Linked DNA regions of Mus musculus. The main gene of each other region encodes a partner of the protein of the gene in region 2 in a complex. Links are inferred from orthologs where the notes say so. Each region holds a gene or a part of one and is shown on either strand. Other genes may lie near its edges.

What was found.
Region 1: the proteins of Spag9 (region 2) and Arf6 are in contact, whole or in part, in a crystal structure (PDB 2W83), measured with the Homo sapiens proteins. The link is inferred for Mus musculus from reciprocal best matches to the Homo sapiens genes SPAG9 and ARF6. Residues at the interface, in NP_001124000.1 of Homo sapiens: Lys431, Asn432, Ile435, Val438, Asp439, Thr442, Cys443, Asp446, Val447, Gln449; in NP_001654.1 of Homo sapiens: Glu13, Arg15, Lys34, Phe47, Val49, Glu50, Thr51, Thr53, Lys58, Asn60, Trp62, His76, Tyr77, Thr79.

The regions. Positions count from the first base shown.
Region 1 is NC_000078.6:69,370,593-69,375,074, forward strand, and holds the start of Arf6 (ADP-ribosylation factor 6), read left to right. Parts: upstream 1-1,557; 5' UTR 1,558-1,631; intron 1,632-1,731; 5' UTR 1,732-2,201; coding exon 2,202-2,729; 3' UTR 2,730-4,482. UniProt on the Homo sapiens protein: GTP-binding protein involved in protein trafficking that regulates endocytic recycling and cytoskeleton remodeling. GTP-bound form plays an important role in the transport of multiple palmitoylated proteins form the Golgi to the plasma membrane.
Region 2 is NC_000077.6:93,994,734-93,998,993, forward strand, and holds the start of Spag9 (C-Jun-amino-terminal kinase-interacting protein 4), read left to right. Parts: upstream 1-1,357; 5' UTR 1,358-1,537; coding exon 1,538-1,840; intron 1,841-4,260. UniProt on the Homo sapiens protein: The JNK-interacting protein (JIP) group of scaffold proteins selectively mediates JNK signaling by aggregating specific components of the MAPK cascade to form a functional JNK signaling module.

The DNA.
Region 1 (4,482 bases), on a different chromosome or scaffold from region 2:
GTTAAAGGCATACACCACCTTGAATGTCTTTAAATTACATTTTGCTTGGTGTCCTCCAAGTCAGGGTGGGTGACAAGTGCTTTAATCACTGAGCAGTATCAACCAGCCCCAAACTGACCTATTTTTTTTAAAGCATGGCATAGAGAGTTTAATTCTTACTATTGGCGACTAGTTTCTGACTATTGCTATTTGTTTTGTACTATAATTATTCTTTAATCATTTATTATTGGGGCTGGGAAGATGGCTTGGTGCATTAAAAAGCACTTGCTTTGTAAGCAGTAAGTTCCAGAGTTCGAATCTTCAGTCAAGTAAAAAGCCTGCTGTGGTTTCAAATACCTGTTGCTCCATTGGGTCACCCCTGTCCTGGGAGGTGGAGGCTGGAGAATAATTTCAGATAACCCTGAGCGACTGTGAGGCCAGTACTTGTTAAATAGAGTGGCACACTCTCTAGCCTAGACTGACCTAGAATTACAGCGACCCTCTCTGCCTCAGTCTCATCACTTCTGGTACAGGTGTGAGCTGTACCAGATGACTTCCTTTTTTTTTTTTTTTAATTATAAAATAAAAACAGTATATTATCATATGCTGTTGTAGCAACTTCCTTGAACTTAAGTTTTCTCCCCGTGTTTATTTTTATTAAAAATTTCACCTTACTTTAACCTTAACACTATCCGTTTAATACAAAAAGGTTTCCTGGTCCAGCAAGATGGCTTAGTAGGTAAAAGCGTCGGGCGCCAAGCTTGACTTGATACCTGGGACCCACATGAAGAAAGGGGAGAACTGACTTTGGTTGTCCTCTGACCTCTCTCCGTGCGTACGCACACTAAATGAAAAAAAGTATTTGAAAATAAGAACAAAACCCAAAGAGTTTCCTTATAGTACGTGGAGAGCAGAAGTCAATTCAAGGGAGTTGGTTCTCTCCTTCCTGGGGAACGAAGGCGGGTCCGCCCTCTCGGTGGCAGGCTTTACCCACAGTCATCTCGTCGGCCCTGATAGTCTGTTTCTTAAGAAATGCGGGCGGTTCAGACCAGACTTATAAAGAACGAGTTTAAACTTTCAAAGGCAGGGCTTAGGGGCAGACCCAACTCGAGTACAAAAAGTGCGGGCTACTTTGGCGGATTCTATGGAACACTGGCCTCCCACGTGTCTTCCAGGAAACTGAAGGAAGGCTGGGGAGAGCGGGAGGGGCTTCGCGCAGGGGGTCCGGGAGCGAGCCTGGGAAGCGTGGCTGGGGCGCCGGTCCTAAGGGCCGACGAAGCCCGCCCTCGGTGGATCCGTGCCCCGCCTTCGAGTGGCGGAGAAGGAGACCCGCGGAGACCCCGGGTAGAGCGACAGGTGGGCACACGGCCAGCCCCACGCCAGCAGGTTCCGCGAGGCGCCGGCGTTGAGCCCCGGGAGCCGCCGTAGCCCCGCCCCCCGGCGCGTGGCGCTCGTGACGTCGAGAGCGCGGGCCACTCTCCTTTCAGAGGTCGCGCTCTTCCGAACGGTCGGGCCGAGGCGCGCGTGCGCAGTTGGGAGGGGAAGTGAGGCGGTTTCCTCGGCGCCTTTTCCGGCAGCGGCGGCGGCGGCAGCAGAGCTAGGAGGAGGAGGTGGAGGCCGGAGGGAACCCGCGCTCGGGGCGGCGGCTGGAGGTAACCTCAAGGGCCGAGCCCGAAAGGCGGGCCGCGTCGGTCTGGGCGCCCCCTCGGAGGCCCGGCGGTAACTCCCTTCTCCCTCTCTGTGTCCCTGCAGGCGAGCACCCGCGAGTTCCCGCGAGGATCCATGACCTGACCGGGCGCCGAGCCGCGCTCGTCGTCGGGGTGGTGACCGGGGTCGGTGCCGAGTCCGGTGCTCGCAGGCCGGCAGGCCGGCCGCAGTTGGAGCCGGCGCGTGCCGAGGCGGCGGAGGAGCTGTCGGCGGCGCTTGCTCGCTCGCTCGTTCGCGCGGCGCCTGCGGGGGGGAAGGGCAGTTCCGGGCCGGCCGCGCCTCGCCTCGCCTCGCTTGAGCAGGGCGGCGGCTCTCCCGGCGCAGACGCAGGGCCCCGGCGGCGGGCGATGCCCGAGTGAGCGCAGGCCGGGCCCCTGCTCCCCTAGCCGGCAGCTTCGCGCAGGCCGCAGGGCGTCCTCGCAGCGGGGCGGCGACGTTTCGGGCTCGCGGCGGCGTTGTAGGCTTGAGGGGACCCGGGACACCTGAATGCCCCCGGCCCCGGCTCTTCCGACGCGATGGGGAAGGTGCTATCCAAGATCTTCGGGAACAAGGAAATGCGGATCCTCATGCTGGGCCTGGACGCAGCCGGCAAGACAACGATCCTGTACAAGTTGAAGCTGGGCCAATCGGTGACCACCATCCCCACGGTGGGCTTCAACGTGGAGACGGTGACTTACAAAAACGTCAAGTTCAACGTGTGGGATGTGGGCGGCCAGGACAAGATCCGGCCGCTCTGGCGGCATTACTACACCGGGACCCAGGGTCTGATCTTCGTGGTAGACTGCGCCGACCGCGACCGCATCGACGAGGCCCGCCAGGAGCTGCACCGCATTATCAATGACCGGGAGATGAGGGACGCCATCATCCTCATCTTCGCCAACAAGCAGGACCTGCCCGATGCCATGAAACCCCATGAGATCCAGGAGAAACTGGGCCTGACCCGGATTCGGGACAGGAACTGGTATGTGCAGCCCTCCTGTGCCACCTCCGGGGACGGACTCTATGAGGGGCTCACATGGTTAACCTCTAACTACAAATCCTAATGAGCGTCCTCCACCCAGCCCCCGGAAGGAGAGAAATCCAAAACCCATTCCTAGGATTATCGCCACCTCCATCACCTCTTTGAATTGCCACTCTCTTTTTGAATCTGAACTCTGGAGTTACTGTTCTACAGTTTAGTGGGGTTGGGGGTTTTCTTTGTTTCCTTTTTTTTTTTTTTTTCCCTCTTGGCTTTGCGTTAGGATGCTCTGATCTGACATTTGACACGAATACAGTGCTAGATGCCTTGTGACTTCCAGCAAACGGGGTGGGGTAATAGCAACTCTTGGTAAAGTCCTTTATAATAATGGTTTGATTTTTTTATTTCGAGAGAATCTTCCCCCCCATGTATGCTTTTTTTCCTTTTTGCCCAGGTTCTTATCACTTGCTGTAGATGGCTTATTTTGCATTCATGCAGACTATGTTCCAAGTCTGTTTCATCTAGTAAACTGAAAATTATTGCTTAATCAAACTGCCGTTTGTCTTTTATATTTAAGGCCTCCCCCCCCTTCCTCCTTAGCGCTAACTTTAGCAGTTTCAAATGTGACCTTTTATAGCCAAGACCAGTATGGTGAACTAAGCCCACAGTGGCAAGATAATGAGTAATAGCAGTGTAATGTTCCAGTTGCACATGAGTGTGTCAGACAGGTAATGTCAGGAGCCCCTGGCAGTGTCAGCCATTAACGTGCATGAGGAGGAGTACAGCTCGAGCTCCCTTCACCCTAGCTAACTGCCGCCTAGAACAAGCAGCGCAGCCTGTAAAGCCTACAGGTCTCTTCCACTGCAAAGTTAGCAACTTCGCTGTTTCCCTCTTCTTACCTTTAAAAATACTCTTTCCAGAAAATGGAGCAATAATGGTGTATGCCTCACACAGATGAAATATTTGTAGATATTTTAAAGTGACTTTTGGACAAAACTGGAATGTTACCTTGTTTCAAATGTCTTAAGACCAGTAGTTTTAAAATTACTAAACATTTGCTCACTAATAAAACATTTAAAAAGTCAAATTATATGCCCCTTTAACGTAGCTGGAAAGAAAATACACATTCCTGTTTTCACGTTACAGCAGCTGACTAGACCGAAGATAATGACATTTTTTAAATAGATGAGTGATCTACATCTCCATTAAGACACTGGAAAAGATGTTTTATTTTAAAAAGGTATTTAGTTTTGCTTGATTGTAGGGTTTACTCCTGCAGATATCCTGTTGGTTCGGTAGTATATCTATCTCCTGTAAGGAAGGAAATGTGCTGAATGAATGGCTTAGATGTGGATGACAAAGGGGAAGTAGGCTGGACGGGAAGAACCTACAGATGACAATGAATGTAAATTAACTTTAAGGGTAAGCATTGTGCTGGTTGTATCCGGATCTTAAGATGATCTGGCTAGGACCTGTAACTAGATGGAGACCACTATAGTAACTTTTTGAACCAAATGTTAATGTCATTCCGAATTGTGAAGCAGCTTCTGGTTTCTCTGTAGCCTTAAGGATTAATTTAGCGATCCTCAAGGAATTAAACTTAGGGAATTTGGGAAATGTAGACTGCACAGGCAGTGTACTGGAAAAGGTGGAATTTTTTTTTTTTTTTAATGAGGGTGTCTGAAAATTAAAATCAAGCCGGATATCATGGTAAAGTTGGACAGTATTGGTCCTTCATGTTTTGGCCATATTGTATAATGGAGCTTTTACCAAAGATGTAGGAGAAGCAGGAGGCTATACAAAAATGAGCTGTAAGTAAAACATTTAACCTAAAGCAG
Region 2 (4,260 bases):
AAACAATAAAGTTCTTTTTAAAAATCGATAGGGCATTTTGAGCTCATACTCAACTAGCTGGGCAGCATTCCTAGAATCCAGACATATACACAAAGTAAGGGTGAGGAAGGGAGACAGGGAGAGCACAAACTAAGGGTAGTGGCGCAGGGGTTCGGGAAATTGTTTTGACAGTTTTCATCTTTGTCCTTTTGCACTGGGTCAACCTCCACAGAGCTTTTGGTGGTTTCCAGGGAGATGGAAGTGTGGGAGACTTTGGGGATGATCTGAAACTTCTAAACACCAAACAGGGTATTTAGGACTCCGGGAGGTAGCCAGTCTTCTCCCTAATAACTTGTCTATTTAAATCCTCTCTGTTCTTCCCATATATTTAGATGAGTCGGAGTCGGTGTATCTGAGTCAGCTATGGCAAAGGGAAGAGGCTTTTGCGAGTGTCTTCCGCCAAACTTGAGACTGGAAGATGAGAATACACGGAAGTAATCTCTGACTCAGCCTGCCCAAGGCTAGGGTGTTGTGGCATTCCCCACGAGTGACGCACTCCCAAGATAGGTGACTTCATGTATCATGGGACTTATTCCACCACTGACTCCACCCCATAGCCTCCTCTGCTTCTTCTCTCACTTCCCAGCCCCACCTCCCTCTCAAGATCAGAGAGGGACCGGTGGTAGTGGCTGCAGCCTAGAACTGTCTTTCTCATAGGCAGGGAGCAGAGGGACCCAGTGTTTGGCAAAATGCAAAAAGTGGTACTCATTTTCCCTTCTCCAGACGCTTCGCTCTTCTGGTTAAGGCTATCCTTACTCTTCCTTAACATCAAAGTGTACTATCGTACTCGAGGCAACCTGATCCTCTAGGCAGTCATTCTAGTTACAGCTTTTTCCCTCATCCACTGTTTTCCTTTGAGTCCAGAATTCTCAGTAGGAAGTAGAGAGAGTCTCGCCTCTGCCTCTTTCCTGTTCTAGCGGTATGACCTTGACTAACCCGCAACTTCCCTGGCCCTAGTTTCTTTGTCTGTTAAGCAGGGTCCACACGTCTGGCGCACCAAGAAGGCGCGGGATGAGCCGTAAAAAGGCGAAGAAAACGCTTGCAGCCTCCTGGGGAAAGTTGTCAGTCTTCAGAGCCCCTCCCTTTCCTCTGGGAACGCCCAGCCAACGCAGCCTCCGGCTGTCACTTCCTCCACCTCTCACCTCTCGGTCCGCGCGCGCGCGGCGCCGGGTGTTGGCGTCACAGCCGGCGCACGCCGCCGCCAGGCCCCGCCCCTCGTCCGCGCCTGGCCTCCCGCGGGGCCCCGCCCACCGGGGCGACGCGGCGCTGGCCCCGCCCCACGGGTGACGCGTAGCGCGCGCGGCCGGGCCGCCCCGGCAGTTGGTGCAGCGGCGGTTGGGGCGAGTGCGCTCACCCCACCCCTCCCCTCCTTGGCCAGGGCTCCGGCCCCCACCCCGCGGGGCCCAGCCCCAGCCCCAGCCTCCGCCGGGCCCGTCCCGTGCGGGCCCGTGCCACCCCTCAGCCGGCGACGCCCGGGGCCGCCCGCCCGCCCGCCACCATGGAGCTGGAGGACGGTGTGGTATACCAGGAGGAGCCCGGAGGCTCCGGGGCCGTGATGTCAGAGCGGGTGTCCGGCCTGGCCGGCTCCATCTACCGCGAGTTCGAGCGGCTCATCGGGCGCTACGATGAGGAGGTGGTCAAGGAGCTGATGCCACTGGTGGTGGCCGTGCTGGAGAACCTGGACTCGGTGTTCGCGCAGGACCAGGAGCACCAGGTGGAGCTGGAGCTGCTGCGGGACGACAACGAGCAGCTCATCACCCAGTACGAGCGGGAGAAGGCGCTGCGCAAGCACGCCGAGGAGGTGAGGGCCGGCGGGGGCGGGGGTCGCAGCCGGGCTGGGGACGCTGGGCGCGCCAGGCGCACCAACGCGCCAGGGTGGACTCCTGAAGGGCAGGCCCGAATCCAGGGCCCGGGACAGTGCTCCGCAGCGTCTCGGGACCCCGGGACACTGGCCGGTGCTGGAAGCCTAGGCAGGCCAGCGAGTGTCCAGGAGAGGGGTGAAGTGGGAGGAAGGCCGGGGGAGGAAGCGACACTCTGGCATCTGAGGGCACCTGGGACTGCCCGAGGGCGGAGACTTGAGGGTGTCTGGTTGCTTCTTGTTTAGGGAAGTTTCCGACCACCGTAGGATAGTCGGGTGCGGGTTCAAACTTTTAGCATGGGGAGGGGCAGTGCTGTCCTGCCCGTGTCAGTTCCGCTGGCTTCGGTACCTTTCCAGGGGGGGCTGCTGCTGCTTTGGGAAGTTAGAGATCTCCCTCTTTCGGTCAGTTTCTTCTTGACATTTAGATCCTCTTGAGAAGGAAGTCTACCTATGTACCCTTTTTTTTTTTTTCCATTTAATTTTAACACTTAGTCAACCACTTAGAAGTCGACTAGCAGAGTCCAGTAAGTACATACAGTACATTCATTTACTTTATTAATGTTCCTCACAGAGGAATGTTCCTCCTTCGTGTCAGGTGGTAACCTTGGACAGTTCCCTGACAGCCTCCTCTATTTATAAAGACTGGGGGGCGGGGTTGAGAAGGTGTGGGTGAGTGTTACAACACTTGTCCTGTCTGCGTTTGCTTTGCATCCTGCAGTTTCTAAGTGCACTTGGCTGGCTCTTTGCTCGAACACCTGAGCGGTGACCTTTGTACTCGTCACCTGAGTGTGTGAGCCTTTTTGGATCCTGGGCTGTAAATGATCCTCTAGCTTTTTGAGCGAGTTCAGGATTTTAGCCTGCAGGCTGAGCGCCCTGGCATTGTTTCTGAAGAACCTTTCTTCGGCAGTCAAAATGCTCTCCTTGTTTTTGTGCCAGACATCTACTGTACCTAGCTAAATACATGGTGATTGAAGGAGACTAATTATCGAAGGAACCACGTGTTGTTTTTCAAAACTACATGACGCGGTAGAAGAATGTGACATTTGTTTGGCAGCTCAGTTCCTAGCATTAAATAGGCAGTTTATTTTGTTATTTGTGCCTCTGCATTCAGGTAAATGATTCTTTTTTTTTTTTTTTAAAGTCATGATTATAGTGGCGCTTTGTAATTGAGATTTTGCAGTCCACCTATCTTAAAGAAAGGCATTGAATTTGCCAAACAAAATTGACTTTATTTCAAGAGTATGTTTACAAATAAACACGGAGGGAGGGTTGAAAAGAAGACAAGGCCACAGCCCCGTTAGTTTCTTGGTTTATAAAACAGATCAAGGCCTTTAAGGTGGCGTGCCACTTGGGTGCCACTTGCCACTGATACAGACTTTTGTCATGATGTGGATGCAGTTGGAAGAGAGTGGGGCCAAATATACACAGATTAGGAGCAAGTTCAATGTAACCTATTACCTCTGGTTAAAAAAAAAAAGGAAATGTTCCCTCCAGCCTTAGCCTGCGGACAGGATGAAGTGCCGAGGTTACACAGTCCAAGAAAACCAGCTGTTACAGGTTACAGAATCAGAAAATAAAACTGCTAGGCTTTGTTTTCTTTATTTTTCTTTATTTGTTCATTTATTTTGGTTTTTCAAGACAGGGTTTCAGTGTGTGGCCCTGGCTGGCTATCCTGGAGCTTGCTCTGTAGACCAGGCTGGCCTGGGACTCACAGAGATCCCCCTGTCACTGCCTACCTAATGCTGGGATCAAAGGCATGCACCACCTCTGTCCGGCTTATATTTATTTAAGTAAATGACTTTAAAAACAGTCTGTTCACTAGGTTTCTTTAACATTTATACTTCTTAGTTAAATCTGTCACATCTCCATAATGAAATGTTTGGGTAGACTCCTGACCTGAGAATTAACAGCACTGATGAGATGCTAGACGAACCCTGCCCTAACCACAAACATAAAACCCCAGCAGCAGCAGCAACAGCAGCAGCAGCAGCAGCAGCAGCAGCACTACTCATGGAAGATGCTAAGCGGTTTTGCCTATACCTAGGAGTTCAGTCTTCCAGGCCAGTGTACAGAGTGGATCCTGTTTAATTCTCTCCCTGAATGCTCAGTGCCTTTAACCCAGAGATTAAGAGCATGTGCTTATAGCAGAAGTGCTCCAGGGAGGGTATTTACAAAGTAATTTGAAAGCATGGTAATTGTTCATCTCTAGAGCATAAAGTAAATTTTGGGTATCTTTGTGGGAACTTAAGAAGGCCTGGGAATGGTGAAGGTGTTAAGGAACCTATGAGGTGCTGTAATCTCTTGCTTGCAGAAATTGCCAGAGAGGGGGCAGGAATGTAATTTCTATTATAATGGTTGTACTT